Struthio camelus: one gene and its partners. The protein of the gene in region 1 interacts with the protein of each later gene in a pairwise test. Links are inferred from orthologs where the notes say so. Each region holds a gene or a part of one and is shown on either strand. Other genes may lie near its edges. The genes, in order: TEX11, ATXN3, CCDC198 and HYI.

Evidence for each region.
Region 2: the proteins of TEX11 (region 1) and ATXN3 interact in binary tests that used the Homo sapiens proteins (3 or more experiments, as listed by UniProt). The link is inferred for Struthio camelus from reciprocal best matches to the Homo sapiens genes TEX11 and ATXN3.
Region 3: the proteins of TEX11 (region 1) and CCDC198 interact in binary tests that used the Homo sapiens proteins (3 or more experiments, as listed by UniProt). The two-hybrid records come from large-scale screens. The link is inferred for Struthio camelus from reciprocal best matches to the Homo sapiens genes TEX11 and CCDC198.
Region 4: the proteins of TEX11 (region 1) and HYI interact in binary tests that used the Homo sapiens proteins (3 or more experiments, as listed by UniProt). The two-hybrid records come from large-scale screens. The link is inferred for Struthio camelus from reciprocal best matches to the Homo sapiens genes TEX11 and HYI.

What each region holds. Positions count from the first base shown.
Region 1 is NC_090952.1:25,538,750-25,545,623, reverse strand, and holds the start of TEX11 (testis-expressed protein 11), read left to right. Parts: upstream 1-3,874; 5' UTR 3,875-3,931; coding exon of another isoform or gene 3,932-3,956; coding exon 3,957-3,987; coding exon of another isoform or gene 3,988-4,064; coding exon 4,065-4,177; intron 4,178-6,309; coding exon 6,310-6,394; intron 6,395-6,874. Other genes in the region: nuclear cap-binding protein subunit 2, read right to left, coding at 1,354-1,452, 2,142-2,280, 3,119-3,300, 3,624-3,710. UniProt on the Homo sapiens protein: Regulator of crossing-over during meiosis. Involved in initiation and/or maintenance of chromosome synapsis and formation of crossovers.
Region 2 is NC_090946.1:65,726,994-65,734,186, forward strand, and holds the start of ATXN3 (ataxin-3), read right to left. Parts: upstream 3,016-7,193; 5' UTR 2,884-3,015; coding exon 2,860-2,883; intron 2,470-2,859; exon of another isoform or gene 2,370-2,469; intron 1-2,369. UniProt on the Homo sapiens protein: Deubiquitinating enzyme involved in protein homeostasis maintenance, transcription, cytoskeleton regulation, myogenesis and degradation of misfolded chaperone substrates.
Region 3 is NC_090946.1:78,494,920-78,501,797, forward strand, and holds the start of CCDC198 (factor associated with metabolism and energy), read left to right. Parts: upstream 1-3,869; 5' UTR 3,870-4,043; coding exon 4,044-4,248; intron 4,249-6,878. Other genes in the region: SLC35F4 (solute carrier family 35 member F4), read left to right, coding at 652-893. UniProt on the Homo sapiens protein: May be involved in tuning the metabolism, energy expenditure, and excretion processes.
Region 4 is NC_090949.1:25,507,459-25,515,012, forward strand, and holds the start of HYI (putative hydroxypyruvate isomerase), read right to left. Parts: upstream 3,016-7,554; coding exon 2,820-3,015; intron 2,347-2,819; coding exon 2,235-2,346; intron 428-2,234; coding exon 313-427; intron 140-312; coding exon 61-139; intron 1-60. UniProt on the Homo sapiens protein: Catalyzes the reversible isomerization between hydroxypyruvate and 2-hydroxy-3-oxopropanoate (also termed tartronate semialdehyde).

The DNA of each region.
Region 1 (6,874 bases):
CTAGTCTGTACATGAGTAGGCAACAGAACAGACAGCATTATCTTGAATAAGATAACGTGAGAGAAATTGTGACTACAGGTTATTGGCCTGGGAGCAGCTGTTATTATTTGCATAATACAAAACCAATTTACAGTCAGAGTTTAACTTGTGCAATGGAATTGGCTGAACCGAGAAGTGCTCGGGGGCGGATCGGAAAGGGTTTTTGGTTCCTCCATAGTCCCTTGTTCAGACCCTAGGCAGAAGTTAAGAGTGTCAGCTCTGGTCTTTATACCTCTCACATAAGGGGAAGAAAGCTTGCTGAAAACACAGGGAAAGGAGTTCCTGGTTCCTTCACCTCTGAAGTGCACACTGGGCCTTTGTATTGCTTTTCAGATTCTGGAACTAACTGCGGTAACAGGAGAGAGAAAGATTTCCTAGAATCTCCTGGTGTGAAACATAAGAACTTGCCTTATTGAGAGCAGCTGTACACTTTTTATAAGCAACTTCCTTCTGATTTCAGCCAGCAGCTATTGCAAAGCACAACAGGAAAGCTAGGAGGAAAAGCTAGTACCAAGAGAGAGGCCAAGAGAAAGACAGCAAGACTCATTTGTGCTCCCTTTTAGTCTTTCTGTTCATGACTTTAAAATGCTAATGGGGCACGCTCCCCAGCTCCTGTCATACCGCTAATGGTTTTGATGCACAAACTGCAGCAGGTACAGGACTCACTGTTTATTTAAAAAATTAAAAGAAATTTAACAAAATCACGCCGAACAGTGAGGATCTGAAAAGCCAGGCAGCACTGGGGTCATCACAAAAAGAAAGGCTCTGCAGGCCTGACCAAGCCAAGGGTTAGATGTGCAGACAAGCACCTCCAAGTGGACAGTAAGACCTTGTTTCACTTCTCTCATCTAAACAGCAATACTGTTTTTTAAGCAGACTGAGATTGTAAATTAGAGATCTGAAACTCTGGTGCATCTCTACAAGGTGCCCAGATACCTGGAGGGCTTTGATGTGGGTAAACTTCCCAGAAGTTCCATTTGAGAGCGACCATGGCTGCAGCCAGCCTGGAGGAAGCCAACCGCTCAGCTGCAACGTGAAGAGTATGTCCTGGCACAAGGTCAGCGTGACACGCTGCACTTCTTCTTACCCAGAATCCTGCAGAGCTGTCCGTTTTTTCCCTTGTTGTCCTGTATCAGCACAGAACATCCTCTCTAGCCCAGAAGGAAGGGGGGATGAACACATGTATATCCACAGTCTAAGGAGAGTCCCCTTTTGCTGGAACTTGGATTTCACTCCCTACCCCAATCCAAAATGCAAGTACAGGGCTAGCTCTGGAAGGACAGAGCCCTCTATGAGCTAGAGCCCATGAGGCGTTTAATAGATTGCAGGCTGATGGTTTGCCTTCTGCATCTGAATGATCTTGCCAAAGCCGCCTCTTCCCACATCGTAGTCTGTCCGGTACTCATCTCGCACCTGGGGCACAGCAGTAACACGCGTTAGTACCCTGTACTGCCTATCTCCCAGTAGACTTCAGAATCATCATCCCTTCCTTGCTGCACTGGTGGGGAACTGAAATTTGGGTTACAAGTTCTTTGACTTGTTCAAAATCTCTTTAAAGAATCCACCAAAAAATTACTGGTGGTAGTGAAAACAACAAACAAGGATACAACAGATTGCTAAAGGTCTTTTTAAACAAAAAACAAAGAAGATCCAAAAATATTCTAATTCAACTTTGCAGTTAGCTTTCTGAATCAACAGAAACATTTACCCCTCCTCCCCGCCACCCTCCAGGAAATCTGCAAAGGAATCTCACCTTCTCACTGGGGCATGCTGCTGGATTATGAGATTGGCCTAGCAACTACACTGCCCCCCCCCCCCCCCAAATTTCAAATTCTGCATCATTTTAGGAGTACTAGCTCAGGAATAAGGCAAATTCTGTTTGCAGAGCCAGAAAGATTGGAGTCCCAGCCAGAAACTGCCTTAAGCTCTACTTAGAGCTGTAAACGCCAGGGTAGCTCAGTTATCAAAACCACCAGGGAGTGTCTAAAATTCACTATTGGGTCTTCATTATCTGCACTTTATCTTGAATAAGACAAAACTGGCAAAGCAGCACCCAACTTTAAGGAAAACAGGTTCAGGGTCTGAACTAGTGTTCTCTTTACCTGTCCTCCAGTCTTTCCTCTCCCATACTGTCGCCCTTCCTTAAATCCTGCATCCCAGTCAGTTCGAATGATGCGGTCATCTAGTCTGGTGCCATTGATAAATCGCATTGCGTGTTCAGCATCTGCTCTTGTGTAGTATCTGAAACATACTGTAAGGAAAACTAAACGTGCTATTTTGTTGGCTGCAGGGGGGGGGAAGAGAGAACTATTGTATTTGAGAAACAGAGGAATCCTGCCTTCCAGCCTAAAACACTGCTCTTTTTTATGGCATCAAAAGCTACCTTCATATAAATGCAAGCTGAAAACAGCCCCAATTCCTTCCTAAGATGCTACACTTTAATGTGAGTACCTGTACAGACAAGAAGTAGTTTTGGATCACTTATTTCAGAAGTAGATGAAACAAATGTGTTAAAGCTTTGCTACAGGCAAGAACGCTGTAATATGCCTTTTTATAGCATATGAAACTTGACTGAATTTGAATAAGATGAGCAGGCCTCCCAGGAGAGCTTTGCAAAGGCAGCTCACAGTACAACTTGTACAAGCGTGTACCCTGTGCTCGGGAGTAGTGCCATGGATTATTCTACTAGTTCATTCAGGTGTGAAGTTAGGGTGAGAAAATGAACATGTGCTCTTAATTTTCACCACACAACAGGTCTGACTGGTGATTTCTTTTTGGGCCCTAAAATCTGCTAAATGAATGAATGAAAGGTGCTCTCTGCTGCCTCCCAAAAATACAGAAGTGACAGTACTTTTCACTTACGGTCCTGCAGTAAGACCTGCCTCTGAACGAGGGCAGAGGGGAAAAAAAAGCAGAGAGGACACAAGAAATGTGCTTGACAGCCAGAAGGATGGAAGGATCGACAGGGAGAACCTGAGTTTTGCTCCCTCTTTCAAGTTTTGCGCGCTTGCTTCCCAGAGAGGGACTAGGGGTGGCACCCACAAGCCAGCTGGCAGTAGCAGGGAAGCAGGGAGGATACTCTACGAAGCAGAAGCCGCAGGGAGTTTTCTTGATCTTGTCCAGCCCCATGACAATCCTCTTGACGTCCCCGCACTTGGAGAAAAGCTCCTGGATCTGCTCCTCGGTGGTGTAGAAGGACAGGTTGCCCACGTACAGCGTGGAGGAAATTTTGAGGGATTTCTCCTGCAGCTGCCTGCTACCCTGAGGGCAGAGACGAGCACACAGCGGGGTGAGCTATACCACCACAGTCCCGGGGCTCCGGGGGGCACCTCCGCCGGGCCCGGGGACACGGTGCCCGCCCGCCCGCCCGCCCGCCCGCACACCGGCCTGCCCCGGTACCCGGTGCCTCCCTCCACGGCCCCGTCGCCCCTCAGGCCCCAACCCCATCCCGGTGCCTCCCCCGGCCTCAGGCCCCGCTGCCTCCGTCGACGCTCCCCGCTGCCGCCTCAGGCCCCGCCGCCCCTCCCCCCTCTTCAGCGCCTCAGGCCCCGCCGCCGCCGCGCGCGCGCGCTCCGGTGCCGCACCCGGAAGTGCTGGTCGCGGTACTGGCTGATCTCGCAGTAGGAGTCGCTGTTGAGCCCGCTCAGCGTGGTGTGGAGCAGCCCCGACATCTCGCCCGCGCCCGGCCGGGCCCTGCTGCCGGGATCCTTCCAGAACCGGCGCGGAGCCCACCGGACAGCAAGCGGGCGGGCCGCCCACCGCGCTCCGCCTCATTGGCGCCGGCGCTTGCCACTCGGGGTCGGGAGGCGGGGCGGCCGCGCCGGGCAGCCAATCGGTGGGGCGCTGAGCTCCTGGCGGCGGCGGCGGCGGCGGCGCGGTAGTGGTGGTGGGAATGCGCATGCGCGGCGGCGGCGGCGATGGCGATGGCGGCGGCGTGCGGTGTGGCAGGTACCGCCCGCCGCGGGAGGGACCCGGCTCCGCTGCCGGCCGCTGCCCTACACCCGCCTCTCGGCCTTGTCTTGCAGGGCTGGTCCGCGAGCTGCTGAGCGAGGAGGCGCCGTCGCGCATCGCCGCCGCCACCGAGGAGCTCTTCCAGGCGGCGGGCAGCGTCGCGGCCGAGGAGGGCGGCGCGGCCGAGGTAGCGCCGCGCCGTCGCCCTGAGGGAGCGGCCGGGCCGCGCTGAGGCGACGCCGCGCGCCTCGTCCCGCCCGTGGGCGGCGGGGCGGGAAGTTCCCCCCCCCCCCCGAAGTCAGTTGCGCCACCGCCGAGGAGGCCGGGGCCAAGGGTTCAGTCCCGCGTGGGGAGGCGTGTTCGTGATGTCCACGCCGGTGTTTCGGTCTTCCAGTTCATGCCTCGTTATAAACTTGAGTGCAAACCCGCCTTAGGCATCCGTGGGTGCTTAAGGACGTCGCGCTGGCTCAAAACAGAGGTCTGTCCCACCCTGCTTGTGGCTTCCAGTACTGTTAGCAGCTGCCTGGGGAAGGGAGAAAACAAGCATGTAGCTTTACTTGCCTGGTAAACCCAATACATAAGCTCTGAGGTTATTCTATTTTCGTGTATTTGAACAGTGATCCAATTCGCTTGCATAATGCTTTTGGTTTTAGATTTTTTTTCCTCCTCTAGTCAGGCCTTGTGCTGGACTGCTTATGAATAAAGTAGTAAAATTCTACTTGAAGAGAAAGTTCTGCTTTGACAGAAACTGTGTGCAAAAGAATTCTGATGAGAAGTGTATGAATCTGGAACAAAAACAAGAATAGCTGAGATTTTGTCCAACTTGTTCCTCCAAAATTATATGCTGAGGGGAAATTTCATAGTGACTATCCCATAAGGCAGACAATAGTTCTGAAAGTCCTAAATCTGTGACGAGGAGCAAGGTGGGCTGGCAAGCGTCACAACCGGGAATATTTTCCGTGCTCTCTGTAAAGAAATACGTTTGCATAAAACCAGTAGCCTTCAGTTCTTCCTGTTGGGCTAAATGATTTTTAAAGAAAGGAGAAATCGTTATCTTGTAGTTTGTTCTCTTCAGTAAAAGGAGCCATAAAATTTTGCTATTTGATTCTTGTATGAAGCCCAAAGTTCTTAGTTAAGCAAGAGCATATTTTCAGAAAGACATTTGATTCGGATTTTATGATCCGAAGTGGTTGAAAATACTGGCTTAGGGTTGTTCAAGCAGCTTACTGCCTTCGTGTACGACTCTGTCATCTTTTTAACATCAATGCCTAGCCAGTAGCCTTTGTTCTTTGCTAGTATCAGAATTTTCCCTGTATAGGTATTTACAATAACTAAAGTACTTAATTTCCTTTTTAGGAGGCAAAAGAAGTACTATAAATGTTTGCAAACCTGATACAATTCTTAGAGCTCCTTTCTGAACCCTTCTAATTTTTCAATATCTGTTTAAAGTGTACATACTGTATTCTGAAAGCTGCCAGTGAATCAGCTGTGTCTTGGACAGTGATGTGCTATTGCACAATTTTTGCATGTATTTTTGTGAGAAAACGTCATTCCAGATGGATAGGCTAAGGTAGGTCATATTTTGATAAGTTTGGAAAAGGATTTGACAGAAACATATATTAGGACCCTGGAACAACATGACAGATGAATGGAATTTGTTTAGGAACATATTTTAATGAAACCAAACAAAGGACTGGGAATGTGTCTGAAGTCCACCACTTCACTTACAGAATTCGTTGTGCGCAATTTCAAATTAGAGCTGAAGTCACTGATGGATGACGTGACATGCGTGTGGGTACTGCTATCTGCCTTATGATTAATTAGTTCTTTTTAGTTTCAGGTCATGTCTGCCTTTGGTTTACAGTCATTTTCTTTCTTACCTTGCTTCATCTTAGAAATACTCTCAAATGTTTAGAAGCTGTGAAATAGTCTTTTCTAAGACTAAAGTCTAAAGACTAAGTGTATCTTATGAAAGACGCTTATGAAAAGAATACGTGAGTCCTGCCAAATGCTTGTAAGTTTTCTGAAATGGCTGATCCATTGAAAAGAAGCTACTTTTAGCTCAAGAAAGCCCATGTGACCTATTCAGCATGCCTGTTTTCAGGTTACTGTCCCAGATCTCTCTGTGGAGACAGTCAGATCAGGTAATAGTTTCACAGTAATCTCACATGTGTGAGCCTACTGTAAAAGGAAGTTACACAGACGTGCGCACAGGTCATTAACATGACATACATGAAAGATGATTCTTTTTCCAGTAGTACATTTCAGCGTGATCCAAATTGAGGCAAAGATTAAATCTAATGGAATTCTCCCTCTCAGGTCGAAGAGAGTGCAATAAACCTGTGGAATTGGGCTGTGACCAAACACACGGGTTCTGTCATCAATGATGAGCAAAGAGCTAAATGTATGTATGTGTTCTGTATCTCCCTAAACGTTTTTGTGTGCTGTAACGTGGAAGGGAAAAACTCTGCTGACAGATACATATATAACGCTGTGGATTTGTTTGGATCTTTGTAGATAAGATGTAGACAGAGAAAATTGTACAGATGGGCTATAGAAACGGTTCAGGAAGGATCATCCTGGTGTAATAATGATCTTGTGGCACAGAATCAGTGTAGGAATTCTTATCACTCCCCGTTCCTGTGCCAGAGCATCCGTAAAAGCGTGATGTGACCAAAGGAAGCTGTAATTTGCCTTCTAATGCTGTTTTTAATCTGAAATTTTATGGAAATGATATTGGTGTAAATTTTAGACTGTAAGTCACTAAATTGATGTCAAGTAAGAAAGGTACTTTAAATAAACGCTCTCATCAATGACTACATGCAGAAAAGCTTTAAATTATTCTTTTTGCTAGCTTGCTTTAGCCCAGCACACAGCTAATGGC
Region 2 (7,193 bases), on another chromosome or scaffold:
TTACATACTTTGTTATGTATCCAGCGCCCTGGAGATAACACAAATGTAATATATCACTTTTAGACTATCAATCTAAATTAAAAATGAATAAATTAGAAGTGACAGTTATTATTTTGTAGGATAAGTAAAAAAAAAACCTGAATGTACGTCACGCTCTTTCATTCTCATAATTAGTGCAGATAAAAATGCTACCTTGCTTAAAAAAGGAAAACTTTAGTAGCCAATAACCGTTATTTTTAAAGAAATAACTAAACTGCAAGTGCAAAATAAGATTCACATCAGTTTTGAAATCTAGGTTTCATCTTTGCTATTTTAATTAATCCTTCCTATTTTTGTTTACCTTAAAGTACGTGCACTTTGAAGAATAAAAACAGAAACCGCAACCAAACAAAAAACAAAACAAAACCCCCAAAATCCCAAGTACCAAGGGCATGCCTTGTAGGAATATTCTTCAAACTTCTATGACAGCCTCATTCAAGCTATATGCACAGATCTGCCATGGTTCATCCCTTAAAGCAGGAATCTCAAAAATTTCCTTTACCCCAGATTACAAAATCTTCCCAGGGCTTTATCACTCAACTAAGCAATGAGTTAAGGCTGGACTGGGTGTACAGCTGGGGTCTAACAGAATTCAGAAACCTTCTCCACCATCCCGCAGCTTGTGTTCTCCCACTGCAAGAAAGACCGCATCCTCCAAGACCACATCCCTGCTGTTGGTCATATGATAAAACTAAAGCAGAGCAACCTGCTTAAGAATTGCAAGTTTCTCCACCAAAACTACTTGAAACCGATTTAGGAACAAAGAGAGATTATAGTCTTTGAAAACAAGTTGTATGACAGTGTTTAAATCCAGTTTCACTGAAAGGGCATTTCTATATTTGTACAGAAAAAGTTTTATCTTAAGACAACATACATTAATTTTTCATATGCATGATTTGTACGTATTAAGGGTAAATGCAGAAGACAAAACTGATCTTACAGTTTGTAAGAAAAGTTAAGTTTGTTTTTTTGTGTGTGGAGAACACAATGCTTTTTCCATAATCTTAAATCTCCTTGTTGAGATCTATCTCGATATAAAACTGTTGCCCTGCTTTTGGTGTTTTCAACCACTTGTATCATGTAAGAGAAGGGGTCGAATTTTAAGAAAGTGGCTCCTTAAGCCTGGAGGAGGCCTACTTTGGGCATTTGCCATTCTCCCGTGGAAAAAAAAAAGTCACATTGCTTAGGTCTTTGTTTTGTTAAAGGTATCCCTTTAAAAATGTCATTTTTTTCATGCCTCAGTTTTTTAATTAAAACTTCTGAAGTGTACAAGTGATGCACACAGGCATTCAACGCTCAATATTTTGTAGTGCACTCAGGAAAAAAAAATACCACTTAAGAAAAAAAAAAAGAAAAAAGACATAGTAGTTCAGTCAAATTTTCCCTAGAATAGTAATTATAACAAAATAAGATGAATTTGAGTGCCAAGTATTTTTAAAACAGACAGCCAGGAACATTAATAACTGGATAACTAACTTGCTAAAGCATAGTTGCATACCATTCACAAGCAAGACGTCCCAAGAACATTAAGATAAACAAACAAAACCACTCCTCAATAAGAACTTGTAGCAACTACAAATGACAATTAACTTGTAACTCTGACAGTATTATGCTCTATCATTTTAACTCTACCAGAGTTTTATTATTCAAAATCAACAAAGCAATTTCCTCAAAAACACTTTATGTTACTATTTCCTCAGGTGACAGGCTAGGCTACATAAGAGAAAGGTACACTTGATTTGAACTCATTATTTTCAAATCTGGACTGGAACTCAAGGTCACTGTAACACAGGCTGTAATGACTGAAATCAATACTTATCCCCTGAGCAGCAGCAGTTTAACACCCCAAGCATTTGCAAAGTTCTGCTATCCAAATCCAGTGAAAACACACTCCTCAGGTTATACAAATTCCAGAACATTAAAGTTTGCTTTATACAGTTATACAGCTAGCTTGTTTGAGAACAGTGTATAAGAACTAGCATTAATCTTAACACAATAAAGATGTTATGACATTGGCAAAGCATATGAGGAAGACAATAGTACTCCAACAGCATTGTAGCACACACAGTTGGCATTTGGGAACCTAGATAAACCACAAGAGTTAATGGAAGCATTTCTCCTCCAAATCAGGAAACACTATTTAGCATACAGAAGCACTGCACATGAATTAGCAGTGCATTAGCATGGATTAAGGAAATCCTTAACAGCACTCTCTTTCCCTGCTCTTCACACAACTCAAATCAAGGCAGGCTAAGTGAAGAGGAAAGAGAACATAACAGGAAGAGTCAGAAACAGTCCTGCCTGCCCAGGCTACACACCCTCACACTCACTTCTCAGCCGCAGAAGCTCTCTCTCAAGAAACAGGAACAGCATTAGCCTGCACTTCCCCGTAGCGGAGGTCTACTTTCAAAGGCCCGAGAAGGGAAGTCACTGGGTGAGAGGAAACGTCGAGGCTCGGCCCTGGCTTTCTTTGATCTCCAGTATAACGTTTCCTTTTCCCACCGAGCCGGAAGACTTCGCAGAGCCAAGCCGGGCCGCAGGGTCCGGCAGCGCGGTGCGAGGGGGCCCAGCTCTCCGCCGAGGCAGAGGGAGTGGAGCCGCCGCCTCAGCCCTGCCGCCAGAGGGGGCCCGGCCGCAGCGCGCCCCGAGGGCCGCCCCGGAGCCGGGGCCGGGAGCGGAGACCCGCCCGCCACCCCGTACAGTTCCGCGGAGGGAGCACCCCCCGGGCCCGGCGACACCGCGACTGCCCCCCACCCCGGCCCCGGGTGGGTAAAGCTCCGCGCGGAGCGGAACCCTCCCCTCCCACAGCCCCTCACTCACCCGTTCGTGGAAGATAGACTCCATGTTTACTGTCAACGGCCAGCACCCTCCGCCTCACGTGACCCGCCCCAGCCAATCAAACCTCGCTTTACCGGGCAACCCGCCGCAGCCCGGCCGCGCGGAGCCCCCACCCCCACGGTAGCCGCCGGCAGCGGGGCGGTGCGAGCGCTGCCTGCACGAGGGCGCCCCCTGCCGGTCGGGAGGCCCTGCTGCGCCCTCGGCGGCACGAAGCCGGGATCCGCCCCCCGACCTCCCTGCGCCCTCGAAAGCTTTTCCCGTATTTCGCTTGGTTTAGAAATTTAGAAATCACACAGAGAAGTCGGCTTCACTGCTGTCTCTTACCGCCTGTCAATCCTTTTCATTCTCCTGTTCTCTTGCACTATCACAAAGCTACAGTATTGCCACTGCTGACATTCCAAAGAAACATGTCTAAAGAGGAAATCTAAAGAGAAAACGGTTCAGATTTCAATTAAAAATATATAAATACGTTCTCTACCACATTTTGGATCTATATTAAATATTCCTTTAAACATTGTCTCTCTATGAACTACATGAATTTTACACCATACAAATTAATAACGACATACATGCTTTTTGCATAGTTTTTCTTTATTACATAAGTCTTCCTCCCTCTTTCAGAGTATGACTTCCGGGGATAAATGTTTCTGAACAGGACTTGTACTAGTCATGTAATTATCTTTCAAAAAGGAGGACTGAAAATTATAAACTAGCAGAGATGAATCGTAGGTGTTCCTTTCTGCAGCCTTATACGTTCACTCAAGAATAAAAACTGTAATCCTGTTCTTTTAACTTGCTATATATGTTGATTGAACAAGTGAAAATATTTCCCATTTCATCAGCAGCTTCTATTTCCATGTAGTTTCTTCACCAGGTTTCAATTCTCTGTGTGGAAAGGAAAAAGAAAGGCAGGGGAATAACATTAGGATCATTTCTGTAGGATAATTACTAAAAAATGTAAGTTTTAATTATTATAGAAAACCTTGATGTAAGCTTTCATTATTATAGAAACCTTGACTGAAATATATATTAATTATAATGAATAAATCTGACTTTCTTTCAAAGTGTTGTGTTGTCAGTTTAGAATCTTTCAATATGGGTAAATGTTCTCTTTTTCTTTCCAAAGCTGCTTGAGTCCGCTTCAATTAGTTCAAACGTGGGCACCGAACACCTAACCTCTAATAACATAACAAACTTTTTGCATAACAGGGCCTTATTTCTTTTGAATAGAAAAACATCATTACTTTACTGGGGAAAAACAAACAAACAAACAAAACCAGAGGAAGCTTTTGCAACATACTGAAAGGCCAGTGCAATTTAACCACTAACTGCAGTGAGAAAAGTGCTAATAACAGTGGCGTGAGCAGTGGGCGTGTTACTTTACTTTCTCACTCAGAATTATTAGCCCATGGGACACCAGAGTAAAAAAAAGTCACTTGCAAACCATATATACCAACATTTCTACTTTTCTTCCAGTCTGTGATAGACTAGAATTAGTAATTATGCAGCATGATTCTTTTTCTGCTGTTTGGTTAACCCTGCAGTCTTATACAGATTTAAGAGAACTGATCTAGATGAGGTAGCACATTTAGTTATCTCAATTCTCCCCGAGCAGTAAGCCAGCAAGCCCATACCATGGGTATATAGTCATATCCTCAGTAAAGACACAGCAGTTGCTAACATTAAACGTTAAACATTCAAAATACAGAAGCTGGGTTAATTTAAAAAAAGACGATAATTATGTAAATGATGCAAATTTATACAAGTATTTACATGCTATATATGTATACATGCTATGTATATATATGATGTCATACTTTTAAACTTAAGATATAATTTTACTATAATCCACTGAAAAGGTTAAAATTAAAGGAAAACCCAAGTACTATTTGCTTCTGCTGAAGTTTTAGACAGAGCCAAGATAAGGTTTGCACAGTTTCATGGCTAAGCACTTGGCAGCAGTTAGTATGATTAACAAGCTTTGGAAAGCTAAAGCCTTTTATACCAATGCAAAAATACCTTCTTTTTCCAAATTATTTGATATCAAATCAATATTTAGTTACTTAAAATGGAAAACTAATTGGAAGCTGAAAAAGATCACTTTCCATTTTCAATACACAAAAAAATGCAAGAGGCTGCATTTTCCCACCTGTAGAAAAATCAAGGACACGGAGAATACGGAAATTCATACCTACAGACTACTTCCCTAGCTTAATAAGTTACTTTACATTAAAATATGTTTTATAAATTTGTCCCCTCCCTCCCCCTGCAATTATCACATTTAACATTATTTTGTTAGGTAAAGTTTGTCAGAGCTCTAGTATTGTGCATTTAAGTGAACTTGGTACGGTATCCAAATGCAGCTAAATAGGAGGACTCAAAAACATTTCCAGAAGGACTTAAGGGAAGAGGGGGGGAGGAGAAGAGTGGTTTGGAGGTCCTCCCCTTTTCATACACTTTCTCCGGGCCCAGTATACAGAAAAATCCATCTTAAACAGTCTCTTCAGAAGTACAGTTTACAGAATGTTTCAAGTGGTGTTTTTACTTCAACCCTTTGAGATTCTTTTTTATTAGTAGTATTTCAGACAATGTTACTTTTATTTAAAAAGGAACAGTAACAATTTCTATGCAGCAAAGACTGTGTTAATATGCCATGTTAATTACACTGTAAATGGTGAAGTATAGTGGTTAAGTAAATGATTAAATTTTATTTGAAGATTTTTTTCCTAGCAACATGAGTTTCTTATTTATGCACATATTTAGGTTTCTATTTATTTTTCTAGTCATCCTTTTCATAAGTCTACTTAGACATAAATGAAAGTGTCTTAACGTTTACTAATTCTTGCATTTGTTTATCTTGCTTCCAAGAATAACATTTATTTAAAAAAATTTTAAGTCAATTATCTCAACTAATAGGTCAAATGGACAGAATCGCGCACACTTTCTTTCATGACTTATAGCACTAAGATGGGCCCTAAAGCACAGATTTTCAGTAGGCATTAGTCACTCAAAACTCTTAATGAAAGTTGACTGAAATTTTTAGGGCTTTCTTCCTCTTAATATTTTGACAGCATTACTGACTTTTTTTTGTACTTGAGACTCTCAAAAAGAACAGAGAAGCACATCTACTTTGCAAAATAACAGAACATATATATTTTAAAAAGGTATCATAAGCAAACCTTCTATACAGCAAGCTCTTGTTTCTGAAGGCTGACAATTTTTCATCGTTCATTCTGTCCAAATAGCATCCAATCACAAATCCTAGGGGAACAAGGATGTGAACCCAGTGATCACGCACAGCTTGCATGAAATTCACCATGACTGCTAGAAAGAGAAGTGTAACACAGAAGAGTTACTGATAGAGCTGCACACGACAACTGCGACATACCTAGCGCCTTTACTCTCACGTACTAGGATCCTACTATGGAATAATAAACACATGAGGGCCATTAAACACTCCATGCAAGGTGCATGCTGTTCTCAGGTCCAAACACAGGATTCTTACAAAAAAGCTCGGTGGTGCTGGGAAATAGGATCTTATCCTAAAGCTAGAGATGAGTAGACTCTTTTAAGGCATCATTGGCAAAATAGTGACAAAATAATCTACCCACAGCAGCAAAATAATTTACCCATTAAAACAAATCTAAAAGGACAGAAATTTGCTCTCCTGCAAAACATAACACATGTATTTACAGTACCAAATCCTGCAGATGGATGCCCTAATATCAGTAAAAAGTCACAAAGACAAGCCTCGCAGTCACTTGGCCATTGACAGAGAAGCAAGATAACATATCTGTTAACTCCGCAAAGCCTGTTCCAACCTCACCAGCCCAAACCTTCCGCATGAGTGTCCTGCGGGACGATCTGAGACAGCCCGGCAGCCGTACCGCCCCGAGGACGGCCACAGACGCCGCCGCTGCTGCGAAGGGCGCCGCGGGGCGGCGGGAGGCAGGCCGCTCCGCAGCCAGCCGCGACGCCGGCCGGGCCGCAGCTCGCGGCAGGGCCCCTGCCGCCTTCGAGGCTCCGCCGGCGCAGGGAAGCGCCCCGAGGCGCTGCAGGTGAGGGCTCCCGCCGGCACCACGCAACCCGCCCCGCTCCCTCCCGCCGCCAGCCCCAGCCGTTACCGCTTGCCGCTGCCGCCGGGCCCGGAGCAGCGGCCACACCAAGGGCAACGGGCGCAGCGCGCAGGCCGGCGCAGCCCACCGGCTGCTCGGGGAGCGGGGGAGGAGCCGCCTCCCCCCCCCGCGGCGGCCTGGCGGTGGTGTCGCCCGCCACCCCCGCACTGCCCTTCCTTCTTTTCTCCCCGCCCCTCTCAA
Region 3 (6,878 bases), on another chromosome or scaffold:
TGGGAGTGAGGGGTGTGTCCATACCACACAGAGGAGAGGGCAGGTTGACCCCCTGCCTGCAGCCCCCGAGCTAGTTGCTGCCGAGACGCCAGGGGTCAGCGTGCTGCTGCTGTGGCTCAGGACCGTGCTGGTGACCTGATGGGCAGCAGCAGGGCAGGATGTATGAGTGGAAGGTTACTCCAGGGTCCCCTCTTCCTGAAGCTCAGGTGTGCTGTTATAGCTGGTTGCGGAGTTGGGAGGCAGAATCTGGGAACATCGACTCCATCCTGACCTGCATGCTGGTCTCTCTCCATCACTGGTGGAACGTTGTGCTGATACAACCTGCTGTACATAAAGAGTTACCATAAAGCATCTTCCCTTACAGTAGGAAGGGAAACCAGAGGCTAAACTGGCTCTGTAAGGCTTCCTCAAAGTCTATGTGAGGGCAGCGAGGCATAGAAGAGACATGGCATTTCCAGTACCGCTCTGTGGGGTCAAAGCCATGCTCTGAACTCTAGGAGTCGGTTGGTCTAGAAGACTGAAAGTGATGTGGCCAGTGTCATAGCCAGAGTCCAACATGTGGGGTATGGAGACATAGCGGGCTAATCTGATGGTGTAGTTCATCCTTTTGCAGTTTTTTTTGTTGATGACACCTTTGTTTCTTCTTCACAGCTGTGGATCTCTTGAAGCACAAGATGATCTTCAGTGTAGTGAGGCTGGGGGCCACTATCATCATTTGCATTGGGTTTCTGCTGATGCTTCTCCCTGAAGAATGGGATGAAATAACCTTGAGATTCATCAACAGCTTAAAGGAGAAGAAAAGTGAGGATCATGCTGACGACATCACGGACTCCAGTGTGCACACGAGAAGCAGAAGTAGAGCTAATGGGACAGTGTCTATACCACTAGCTTAGAGCTGGTGGACTTTAACTGCACACAGATGTATATTCTGTGAATATAGCTGAAATTTCCTCACTACTAGTATGCTTAAAAAAAATAACATTTACTCTGAACTGGGGATGAATTCTAAGATAAGAGAAATACATCTATAATAAATGTTTACATTTATACACTTATCAAGGAACAGGTGTAAATAACCACAATAAAATGTTTTGTAGTAAAAAGCATTTAAGCTTGTGTCTTACTGAACTGGCAGATTTAAAATAAGGATAATAAGGATCAAGTCTACATCACTGATCTCCTTTTGGTGGCAGAAGGGTCATCATCAAGGAGACCCATCTTGGACATTTCCAGCAAAATCTCAAAAGTGAACATTAACTTGTCTTCAAAGTAAAGGAATTATTATCAAAATAAATGCTTATTTAGGGACGTGGGACACCCAAAAGGGCAACAGTGTGGCCAGGCATTACTGTGACCCCTTGCTGCCAAGGGTGGCTGGAAGAGAGAAACTTCCTTCTGAATGCAGGAGAACAGTGTTTACATGAGCCTTTGCCAATTAGAAACCATTCACACAGTTAGAAGCAGTCTGACCAAGCAACTGCTCAAAACCCTGACGAACAGGGCTGAGCTATCTTGTAATGTTAAATTAAAAAACAAAAAAGAAGATAAGATGAATCATCCAAGCCCTGTCTTCCTGAAGCATAGGCTTTCTGCTTGCTCCAGGAAACCCAACTGGGCACGCAAGCCGATTTTGAACATAGCCTCAACTCTAATGCTTTTACTACACCATCAGCCAGCTTCAAACCTTGTCAAAGCCTTAGCTAACAAACTGACCCTGTTCATGACAGGCACGGTCTGCTGGAGCCTGCGACTGCCCGGCTGCAGGCTGTCCTAGCGCAGAGCTACGAAACAGCCGAGCCCACCCATAGCTTCACGCTCGCTGAACGCGCTCCCAGACCCACGCTGGTCTGTGCATCTCTGCAACAACTTTCCAGCAGCGGCTCTGCGTTTTGGGTGCCTCTGGTTAAAAACAAAATAACTTCATTTATCTTTTTCTCCTAGAAAAGCTGCTCGCCCAGCTTTCATGAGAGACCGAGTACCCTGCAGCACTAGCATCCTTGGGAGATGGCAGCTCCCATTTTCCAGTGCTTTTCCTTTAAGCCAAACAAATATTTGTCTTAACCTCTGCAGTGGGGAAAACAAAACAACAACGCTTTCAAAAGCCAAAACCAACCAACCCACCCAGTTCCTTCCTTAAGACTGTCACTGTGTAATTCAGGCTGGCCGTTCCCAGGTACGGCGGCCCCAGGATCACGCGCTCAGCGAGAGGACGCTTACTTGAGAGCACTCACCATGCAGAGACCTGTGCAAATGTTTTGTTTTAAAGAGCAGGAGAAACAACTCAAAAGTAATGCCGATGGCTGTACTGACCAGCCTGCTTTTTGCCGTTTTTACTTACCGGTTAGTATGGTTTTGTTCACAGTATTTTTGCCAGGGGAAGAAAAAAAGTTATTATTAATAATGAATGCTTCTTTTCTCTAATACTAGCTATATAATAACTATGTTACTTAAAAAAACAAAACAAAACACGCACACCACACACAGCCAGCAAAAAGCTGTGATTTATACTGGTCTCACCTCCGGGGCAGCAGACAGGGCCTGGCTAGCTGCTTGTAACACCCCTTCCCGTGGCATTGGGCCCCCCCCCCAAGCCCCACAGCTGGAGCAGCGCCGCAGCCGTGGCATTCCCACACCTGGTGGGGTGCTATTCCCACCGCACAGCGGAGGGGATTGCTCCTTGCCCTCGGCCCAGGCAAACCGCAAAAATACGCTCATGTTATGAGCGGCAGCAGCAGTGTTGGCCCCTCCATCGCAGAGCTGCAGAACTAGTGCAGGAAACCCCAGCCCAAAACGACCAGCCTCCTCGTGCTAAACCCCACGGATGAGGTCTGGGCATGCACACTTGCTCTTCTGAAACTCTCATCTAGCAGCCTGCTGCAGTGAAAAATAAGTCTAAAAGACATGATTTCCGCTAAGCGGGCAGTGCCGATGGGAGGCTGCTGCTGCAGGTGGGTGCAAGGCTCTACACTCGGTGCCACCAGCAGCGATGGCTTTGCCCCATGCACCGGCAGCGAAGGGGCTCAGGAGCCCCTGGCCCCGAGGCACAGCGCTGCTCTGCACTGGGCGTCAGGGCGCGCGGAAGGCAATGCTTTGGAGAACAGTAAATTTGCTGGAAAAAATGCAGTTTTTGCAAGATGAGCATCCCTGGGGAATTCTGGTTGAGTATGGTGGATGTTCTCGGACAATAAAATGGGAGAAAAGCTACAGGGCACCAGCAGCAGAGAGCCTCCTTCCTGCCACCCACCCTCCCCAAAACCCACATGCAACACTCAACAGCAGCGTTTAATCCTCTATTTTCCCTGAACTGTTCAATGCAAGATGCCTGTTTTTAGGGGGGAGACATTGAGCACAGAGAAATTTGGAAGGGAAGCAGGGTGCAGATTTTAGCAGCTCATTTGGAAAATTAAGATGAAGCTGCTCGGCTCCCTTGCATCATGCGTGAGCCGCTGCACAGGGAAGTCACGAGCGGCGTGGGGGCTCTGCAGCCACAAGCACCAACCTGCCACACTGCCCCAGGGACCGGTAACTCCTAAATTTGGGGATGAATGATTTTTCCCCCGCCTCGTCCTGGCCGGCGGCGTTTGGCAGCGACGTATTCGGCCAAGACCGGGCACCCGCTCACTTTGCGCTTCCAGCTTTGGGTGCGTTTCGCAGCCGGGTGAATAGGTGCTCTCACCACCTGCTAAAAAACCCTCCAAAACCAACATTGAAAAAATCCTCAATCCTAAATGGGTGCAAATAGATACCAAAAAAAAAAAAGGAAAAAAGCCCCCAGTGCTTGGCACCGACTTCCCAGGCCGCCCCGGCTCCGCGGCGGGAGCTGCCAGCTCCCCCGGAGGGCTGGGGCCGGTCAATGTTTAACCGGCCTCGGCCGACAGGGCCGAGCCGGGAAGGACGCGGGGAGCGGCGGCGGCTGTCAACCTTGGCCCCGCACCACCCCCGGGGTAGCGCGGGCGCCACGGACCAGCACCGTCGGCCAGGTCCGGATAGGGCCCGGAGCGAGGGGCTTTTCCTTTTCTTCGGAGGCCGCAACTCCGGAAAAAATGGGCCTGAGCTCCTCCAGGACGCGCCACAGGGTGACCAAGGTGGCCCCAGCACGAGCCGGGGGCGACCTGCCCGTCTCGCCCTACGTCTCGGCCCCGCGTTGGTTTTCCCACGCGCCGGAAGATGCGTCGGAGCAGGAGAAACCCGCGGTGCCGAGGCAGCTGCCGCCGCTCCGGGACGCCGGGTACGGGAGAGCCGCTGCAGGTAAGAGGGCCTGCAAATAATAATTGCAATTAATAAGTTAATGATTGCAAGGGCAGCGGCTGGTGGCTTGCCCTCGGCAGCACGCCGGTCCTTGCTCGGAGGGGACGCCTGCAGAAAGCTGCCGGGTGTCCCCCGAGCTGTGGGTTTGCTCAGGGCGACGGGGTGCGTGTAGGTGCCTTTCCCTGTTCACGTCTTTTTGTCATTTCCAGCAAATTTCAGCTTTGAAAAAAAAAAAAAAAATCCATTTCCCCCTCTTTCCCACAACTAGTTTTGGGAAACTCTCCCGGCCAGCAGAGCCCAGGTCACGCACTGCCCCCCGCGAACAGCCCCCTCCAGCAGCGCTACATCAGCGCGCAGCGGCCACAGGCTGCGTCCAGACGAGCGCTCGCACGGCGGCCCCTTAACTCCTGATTATGCACGCCCCCGTCACCCTTGGGCACCTCTACATCATTACCTTAATTATAATTAGATCCTGGGAAGACGCTCAGCAGGTAAAATTCAGCACTGCCATAAATAATACCTGTGTCTCACGCAGGGCTAATGTTGTAAGCCGGGAGGCCGAGGAACGCAAAGGCAACAACTGCCCGCGTTCCCCCCCCTCCCCGAGAGCCTTCCCCACGCAGCACCGGCCGTAGCCTTCGGCAGCGGTTTTTAAATTCACTCTGTACCCAGAGACGAGAAAGGAGGTATGAGACAGCTAGCAAAAAAGCTGGTGCATGACTATAACGAGCGAGATGAAGACTGGCCACCCCCGGCCACGTACAATAAATCGAGAGCGAAATCTCTGCACCTAACGCGGCTGCTCGCTTGAGAAAGGATAATGCAGATGGATCGGATTTGCAGGTTTAGCTCTCCTCCTCCCCTCTTGTCCCCTTCTAAAAGGGAATTTTGAAAAAAAAACCCCAATCATTTGTTAGCATTGCCAGATATTTCCTCTTCAGTACTGTCTATGGAAAGACACCGGGAGCCCAGGAAAGCAAACGCCTCCAGCGCGACAGCAGTCACGTCCCGGAGCGGAGGCCTGGGGTGAATACAGATCAGTGCCGGGTACACGGCCCGGTGCTTGGAGCGCTGCGTAACAGCGAGAGCAATTACATATTCCCATTCTGGACAGTGATAATCACTAGGCATTTATCAAACGCTTATAAAAACATATTTTTATAAAAAAATCTTTAAAAGAACTCAATAAATGTCATTTTCTATTACATACTTCATTTTCAGAAACAAGTACGCTCAAGGGCACTCGAGCGCTGCATTAGCTTGAGCTGCTGCCTAAATAACCGAAGCCACCCGGAGAAAAGGTCCGTCTTAGTTTAGGAGGATTCATTGGGGCTGGCGTTAAATTCCCCATTCGCCGGCAGAGAGAATCACCTATTAGGGCGCAAGGCTGAAAAAAGGGAATTGCCGAAACGCCGCCAGCTTGAGCCTCACGTTGTCGCCACGCTGCCTCCTTGCAAAGCGCCGTCTCCTCCTCGCCTCTGCAAGGAGGCAGCGTGGCGACAACTAAAGTTTTTCTCCCGAGACGTCACCCGCGCTGGAATTTCCCCTCTCGGGCGTCCCCCGCTCGGTGGTTAATCATTGCACGGGTGCTCAGCAGAGCAAAGCAAATCCTTTCTCAGGTGAACTGGGCCACGTCCGCGGCCTCCTCCAGCACTGCCAATCCTGGACGCCGGGGTGCTGCTTGGGTCACCCCGCCGCTCTCCAAGCTGCTGGAGTCACCCATCGTCACCCCTATGAGAGGACCTCTGATTTTTATAACTAGGAAGTTTGACCTCAGCTATAATGTAACGCCCTTCACCGTGTCTCCCTGCTCCGCTCCCCAGCCTCTGCCCCCAATGCCTGCTCCTCCCCCCCACCAAATCCTTTGCCATGCTGCACACCGGAGCTGCTTGGCTTAGGGCAGGCTGCTGCTGTGTGAGAGCAGCTCCACCTTGTTTAACAGCACGTATAAAACAGCAAGCAAATGCAACAGGGGAGGGAAGAATAGAAAACCTTATATATAAAACAATTCTCCATGCACATGCAAGTGTTTGTGCAAGAACAGCAGCAGCAACATGCCCCTGGAGAGCAGTAATGAAGAAGAGATCTGAGCTGGTCCGCATTGCATTCAGGCCTTAGTTAAAAGGCTGCTTTAATGACGGACAAGGCGATTGCCCTTTGGTAGCACGTCCCCACTGTGCATGCGTTTTGGACTGGTTTCCAAAGGCAGCTCCTAGTTGTGCTGTTCGCATGTCAGCACTTCCCTCACCAGTTCCTGAGCCTACTGGCTGGCTGTAGCCCACGTCTGCCAGGGTCAGTAGAAGCATTAGAAGACATTCCTATAGGGTCCCTCAAAAATAAATAAGGTCTCAGAAACTAAGCACCAAGAAAAGACTCAAAGTGCTGCCCGTTCCCTGCTTTAAAAGGCCAAGCGTGAGCTCAGCCCGTGACTGCAGCCAGGAACCAGCCAAACATGCAATTTTCTTGGCCAGCAGATGGTTATGGGCCACAGGAGAGACCAGGGAGGACAAAGGGATGCCAGAGGAGGGAAGGAGAAGGGTGCAGGTGGCCAGAAGAGCTGGGAAGCTGCAGGAGACGTGGAGGGTGGTTATTCTGCCATACAGGGTGTACGAGGGGCTGAAGAGGGAAGC
Region 4 (7,554 bases), on another chromosome or scaffold:
ATGTTTAGGGCCTCCCTCTCCTCCCTTGAAGGAGATTGCGGGGAGAAATGTCTGCCTTACCTTGGTGAGGGGTGTTCAGAAAGTAGCGAGGGTCAGTGATGCGGCTGTTAATAGGCTCTATCAGTCCAATCATGTCTTCCTGTAACACAGTGATGTCACTCCATGGAGCATCTTGTCACCTCTGCAGCAGACAGCTGCTGGCTTGTGCTGCAGCCGGAAGCATTCCCTCCCTGTGCCAAGCTGGTGGGGGACTCGACACCCTCAGTCCCCTAAGAGTTGGCACCCGTGCAGCAGGACCTGTTCCCTAGTTACCTGGGCCAGGATGTCAGCAGCATATCGGAGATTCTCAATGAACGTGGTTTCCATCTCTCCTGCCACTGCTGCCCGGTCTGCACCCACAGGAACCCGCCCGGCCATCAGGTGGATCCTGCAAACAGAGATCAGCTGTAGGCAGTAGCTCTAGTCTCCAAACTGAGTGGTCGAGGACTAATGCACCTTCCTCTGCAGGTAGAAAATACAGTGAGGGAGGGGAAGCAGACAGAATGTGTCAAAAGTTGTGCCTCCTTCCGTGCAGGAGGCACAACAGGCTCTGGCGAGCTGCAAGGATACAAGCCTGTACAATCCCACTTCAGTATTCAGGAGGACATCTTTGAACCTATTAAGTGACAAATCATAGGCCTTAGTTCTTCCCTCTTTTGTCAGTTGCCTCTTCCTCCCTCATCCCAAGGCCAACCCCAGAGATTTCAGAGTTCAGATCAGAGTTCTCGTAGGGTTTCACTACCGGAGCTACCCTGAAGCCACCATGCTGGACGGCAGGCATGCTGTCTGCTTGGGGCAGACTGGATGCCTTGTCTCACTGTTTGCTATGGCCAAAGGTTTAGAACAGGGAGGAGAAAACGTGGCCAGCTGCTGGGCTGTGACAGGCTGCACACAAAGCTCAACTACAGGGCAAGAACAGGGATCTTAAAGTGATTTGGTGGAGGGGTACTGTGAAAACAAAACAGACTATCATCTCCCTGTTAACAGAGAGAGTGAAATGACCTGGGCAACTGCAGCTTTCAGTCTGACCTCTGCTGTAGGCAGGGCCTTAGATCATATTTTGGGGGAAAAGAATGGTGCAAAGAAGTAAATGGAATAAAAATGGAACACTTTTTCTGAAGTGGATTGCGCCAGACTAATTGCATCTCTTGCAAGGTATCTACTACACTTCAGTCAGTGGGGACTTCAGTAAAGCTACTGCTGTGGTGTCACAGTGGAAATTGCTAGCATAAAGTGGGGGGTGGGGGGAAGAATTACGATGGGGACTACCGTGCAGAGGTGAGGACAAGACCCTCCAGGAGGAATTACAGAGTAAGATGAGTACATGGACCCTTATGAAGGGTCAGCTTGAGGACTGCTCTGAGTGGAAACATTAACTGTTTTAGGACTGCATGCAGGATTGCGTAAATGGAACTGCCTCCTGCTCCCAGCAAGGCAGGCACTGCTGGCACAGCAGAGAAGGGCACGTAGGCACAGGAAGGTCTCCATGATGCAGGGGGCTGTGAGGTGCAACAGTACAAAGGGCAAGTCCTTTGTGGAGGAACAACTGAGCCTGGCAGCTGAAGGAGCAATTGACACGGAAAAGTACTTTGATGCAGTCATCCTGAATGAGCTGAGGCCCACCAGGGGCCTGCTCCCCCCCCCCCCCCCCAGATTAATTGCTTTAGGGTATGAGAAGAGCAAAGAGAGCTACCAGCAGCAGGGGGAGGGTTTGCCTTACAGAAGGAGGTTGGCCTGTTTGACACAGCACAGTAAAACTCAACAGAGCCTCAACTGCTGTCCGAAAGTATGCGGGGTAAAAGCATGGCTGTGTAAGCTGCAGGACAAAGCTGGCCAGGAAACCAGGGCTTGAGATGGTTCCAAAAAAAGGGCAGCTTTGTGGGCTGAAGTGCTGGAAGCGTTCTGCTGCAAGGGGGCGGGTTCGTAAAATAACTGCCACGCTGGTAGGAGAGTGGCTGATGGAGGGGGGATACAGTGCCAGCACGGGGACTGCGTGAAGGCCAAGTGTAGCACCGATGCCTAAGGGGACAGTCCCTGTTGGGGGTGACTGTCTCTAGGGGGTAGAGTGCAACCAGTGCTGCCTGCAGGCACCCAGGGCCAGCGCCGCCTTGACCAGGCCGTGTTGGCCCGGGCACAGGCAGGAGGGGACGAGGAGGGGACGGCGCGTTGCTTCCCCCGCCACCCCGTGCACCTACCTGGGGCAGTCCACGGCCTTGGCGTACTGCACGGCCATGGCCAGGCCCTCGCGGAAGGCGGGCTGGCGCCCCGGCACGGCCCCCAGCCCCATCTCGCCCTTGTCCGGGTCGCCTGCAGGGGGCGGGGGGGGGGGTTAGTGGGACACCCCGCCTCAGTGCAGGGACAGCCGCTCCACAGCCCCCACACGCCATCCCCCGCTGCGCCGGGGACACCACGGCCCCCAACGGCTCCGGCTGCCTCTCTGGGCGGGGTCTGCCCCCAACGGCCGCGCCTCCCGCCCCCCAGGCCGGGGTCAGCCCCCAACGGTCCCAACGGCCGCGCCACCCCCCGCCAGACCGAGGTCAGCCCCCAACGGTCCCAACGGCCGCGCCACCCCCCGCCAGGTCGAGGTCTGCCCCCAACGGCCGCGCCTGCCCTCCCCCCCGGGCGGGGTCAGCCCCCAACGGTCCCAACGGCCGCGCCTGCCCTCCCCCCCGGGCGGGGTCAGCCCCCAACGGTCCCAACGGCCGCGCCTCCCGTCCCCCCCCAGGGCGGGGTCAGCCCCCAACGGCCCCCGGCGCGCCCCCCCCCCCCCGCGGCGGTACCGGGCGGGGTGTTGAGGAGCACGAGCCGCAGCCCCGCCCGCGCCGCCGCCGCGCGCAGCGCCGCCGCCTCGCAGCCGGCGGGCCAGGCCGCCTCGGCCGCGCGGAACCCGGCGCGCGCCGCCGCCTCCAGCCGCGCCGGCAGCGCCGCGCGCTCCGGGAACAGCCACGACACGTTGGCCGAGAAGCGCAGCGCCATGGCGGGGCCGGGGCCGGGGGCGGGGCCGTGAGGGAAGGCCCCGCTCCCTCTCCCCGGGCCGCGGCGCCACCGCGCGGCGGCAGGGGCCGGCGGCGCCGCCGCGGGGGTTGCCGCCTTCATCGGCCGGGCTGGCGTATTCCCTGGGAAAGGCGTTCGTGCCAGGTGCCGGCCGCCCCCGTTAATTGGTTTCCTGGGGAGCTGGTGCGCAGCGGTGCCTCGCTGTGGGGACGCGCGCTCGCCTTCGTCCCGCGCTCCGCGGGTTTCACCGTCAAGCGCTGGGCTCCGAGCGGAGGCTCCCCGGGGCGCAGGAGGCCGAGCGCGGCCTCCGCGGGGCCTGCCGGCCGGTCGGGCTCTCACTCACGTGCCCCGCCGGGCCCCAGCCGCCGGGGGGGTCAGGGCGGCGCGAGCAAAGGGGAAAGCAGAGTCTACTCAATTAAGGCTATTGATTAATCAATTAGAGGAAGCTTGACTCGACTTCTCAGCAACCACCCGAGCTGTCCCAGCGGTGGGCAGCTGGGCCGCGCCGCAGGCATGGGCCCCCTCCAGCGCGGGCTGCACCTCGAGGCCAGGCACGTCCGGCGGTGGGACCGCGCTTCGTCGGGGATGGCGTGAAGTGCTGAAGCAGTTAATGGCATCTTTATATCCTTGATAATATATTTCATTGATTTTTCTCTTGTTATAACTGCAGTTCCTGCATTGCAGCCCAGTGTTTTATCATTTTACCTTGGCAGGGCACAGCGGATTTACTCAACGCCGGCAAACTCGCCTGGGCAGCACAGTGGCTTGGGGAGATGTTGCACTTGCTGGAGACAGGTCACATCGTCTTCCCCTCGGGAAGGGGCCGGCCTGTGCGTGGAGGAGCCGGGCACAGCATGGGGGCTGCGTGTGCCCTGAGCCACCCTCCTCCACCCTGCTCGTTGCACGTTCCGCTAACATGTCTTGGCTCTAGTGGAAGTCTTGGCAGGAGCAGGGTGAGGGAGGCGGTATGAACTGGACCAAAGTGGCCTCTTCAAAAAACAAAATTGGACAAAGTTGCCAGCCTACTCAAGGCTTTCATCTGACCATTTTGCATCCACCCCTCGCCCATCACCGTGTGGACCATCACACGCCAGCAGCCATGCAGGCCCAGGCATGGAGCTGGCCACCCTGGAGCCCGTTTCCAATGGTAGCCGTAAGAGGTGTCGAGGTCAAAACAGGACGGGGCAAGCAGCTGGGACACCCCTGCGCCTCCCCCAGCCGCTGCCTGGCTTCAGCTCCTGAAGCAGCTGCCTTCTGGGCGTATTTGGTAACCCCAGGGATTTGCCATCCTTGGGCATCCTATCCTAACGCCAGGGCTTGCCCGGCTCGGGTGTTGGGGTGCAAAGCACCAGCCCCTGTCTGCCCTGGGCCGGCTCCCATGCTGCAGCTTCTGCCAGCCCTGGGGTGCCAGCGATGGATTTTTGCCACTCACCGTGAATTTTACTGGCCCAAAGAAAATGTAGCTCTTGCGCGTTTTATTACAGAGCTGACATTTTGGCATGGACCCGACTCTGGCCTCAGCGATGGAGAGGGCGGCGGGTGGCCGTGGTAGCTCCCTGCGCCTGTGCCCCCAGCAGGCGCTGTGGGGGGTCCCAGCCCACTGCTGGCCGCACTGGGGTGCGGAGGCAGCCAGGGCCAGCGGCTGAGCACGGCCCGCTGCTGGCGGTGGGCATCAATCCTGCACCGTGTGGCTCGCTGGGCTGCTTCATTACCCCATAAATCCCCCCGCTCACCGGGCTGCTGGGAGCCTCTTATCTCTCTCTCTTTATGAAGCATGTTTTCATTTAAATTGACATTTTTGTATTTTTAACTACCTCTGCCTTGGCTCCGAGGTGGCTGGGCAACTGAGGTAGCAGCAGGGCACCATCACCGGGACAGGGACAGAGGTCCCCACCTCCTGGCGGTAACAGGCAGACCGGGGGGTGACATCTCCTGGCACCCCTGGTCCCTCCTGCTCCCCTCCACCCCACAGCTGCACTGGGCCATCGGGGCTGGGACCCTGGGATTTCCAACTTGTCTCCACTTCCGATGGCCGGGGCAGCCGCTGCTTTCCCTTCCCTGCAGCAGTCTTTGGTCTCACAGCCCCCCCGGTCTCCCCTTCTTCACACTAAAACACCCCAATATTTTGCAACCTGTGCAAACCTTGTTTTCTAGGACTTGGAATTTCAGCTTTTATAGGTGAGCAAATTCTAGCTTCTTCATATGTAGAAAAAGGCTGGAAACAATATTCTGAGTGTGACCCAGCATCTTGCAAAGGCAGCTGCGGGAGTTGTGACTGTTCAGTCTCGTGATTTTGAGAACCAAACTCCTGGTTCTGGGGTCGGTTGGTACTGATGGTGCGGGTGAATCGTGTATTACAGGATAAAGGACATATCTGCATGAATTACTCCAGGCCTGCAGGTGCTGATTGCCTGCTGCTCGTGCTGCCTGAGGGCTGCGTGAGCAAGGTCCCTGTGCGCCTGCGTGTGTGTCCGCGCACGGGGTTTCGCCGAGTTCAGCCCCCAAAAGCTGTTACGCTGTCTGACATGACCTGCTGTGCAAAGCCAGCCATAGATTTTTGTCAGCCTGCCACCACACCGAGACGCCTGCCCTGCGATGACCGAAGACGGTCTTCCCCAAAGCCATCCAGGCCGGATCTGGAAGTGCCACAAGATGAAAAATCCCACACTCACCCAGCAGCCTGGCACCTGCTAGAGACGTGTCGGGGGGTTGCTCCGGACGCTGGTTCGGCCTCTCACCCCAGAACAAAAAACCCTTTAATTTAGTGGGGTTGGGGGCTTCATTTCATTTTTGGCTTGTATTTTTATCCTGTAATGCTGCTCTGCCTCCTCTGCAACAAACTATATAAAGCTGTTAAAAATCTCCCTCTAAAGCATATTTTCCAATTCCTCGACTCATTTCTGTGGTTCCTTTTTCTGTGCCCGTGGCAGAATTTCAACGCTTTTTGGCCCCACGCAGCAGCACGTGCCCTGCTGCGGTGTCTCCAGCAGGTCCCGAGCTGCCGTGATGCCCCGTGGCACCCAGCCCAGCATGTCGGCCCGTGCCGGCGGCGCTCCGGCTTCTCCTGAGGGGTGGCTGCCCGGCTTTGGGCAAATTCCCCCCTCTCCTTATTTAGTGCTCCACCCTTATTCGTGGCACCTGCATGTTTTTGAGGCCGTAGGTTTGCCTTCGCTCGCGGCCACCGGGGAGGCGTGTGTTTCATCCCGGCTTGGCCGTGGCCCAGGCGCCACGGGACCCCTCCACTGGCCACGGCTGGCTTTGTCCTAGGCAGGATTCGAGGAGAAAAAAAACGTATTTGCTTGGAAGCAGGGATTCCCACTAGCCAAACCAAGCTGCAAATGGCTGAGAAGAGGGTGCGTTGTGGCTGCGTGGTAGCGCACCCCGGTGCCGGCACCAGGGCCACCTGTGGGGCTGCCAGCCCTTCCTCCTCCTCCTCTTCCTCCTCCTCCTCCCCCTTGCCCTCCAGTCCCCTCTCCTCAGGAGCTGGCACTGGGCCTCACGTGGGAAATGTGGGGAAACTCGTCGTCCTCCCCGGAAAGTCTCCATTAAGATGTTCACGGGGTGCTTTAATTAGCACATTTCTGCTTCCAGGCCATGCTTTGTTACAGCTTCCAAAAAAAACACTTCGGTAAAATCTATATATCATATTATGGGAAACAAATGCACAACCTTCGCCAGCTTTATGACTATTCTTCATCAGTGAGTATTGAACCGAGCCTGAACACACTATAAATCCTGGCGAAGCTGAGGCGAGGCGGCAAAGACCGATACCACCGTCGCCTCTGCCGGCGCTGGCTCCCTGTTATTTGGCTGCTTTCGGTCTGGCGACCTCCGCGACGGTGACGCAGGTCGTCTCGGCCCGCTCGCGTTTCCTAGCGGCTCTGGGATTTTCTTGATGTTCTAAGATTTTACGGCAAATTAATGAGGCGGCCGAACTCTCCTCCAGCTTTTTGCGGACGCCGGTGCACGCGTTGTCTAGGCCCGCTGAGCTGGCAGATGTTGTTTAACGTTCCCGTCAGTAATTAATAGACTGCTTCATCGCTCTTGTATGATTCAAACATGTCGTCCCGCTTCTTTCCAAACACAGAGCAGAAATATTTGTTAAACGTGTCTGGCTTTTTTTTGCATGATCATTAGCACTCCAACAATTCCAGCGAGGAAAGGATTTATAGCGGTGCCAGGATTTCTTTTGGCCTTATTATGCCTTTGACGTTCCTCCTCATTCTGCCTACCCCTCCCTGGCACGAGGTTTCCTTTATCAACTTCCTTCTGATTTATGCCTTACCAGTTGTAACTTCTCCTTTACAACAGTTATGAATTTCCCTCCTTTTCCATTTCTTACATGCTGCGTTTCTATTTCTAGCCATTCGCCTCCCAGGCCGGGTGTCAGCCAGCCCAGTCCCTTTTTGACCGCGGGACACACTTTGCAGCCAAATAAATATGTCAAGGTCGGGCAACAAGCGGGGACGGACCGGCTGGTCCCAGGCTTTGCTGCAGCCTCCCCGTGCCGTGGCCACGGGC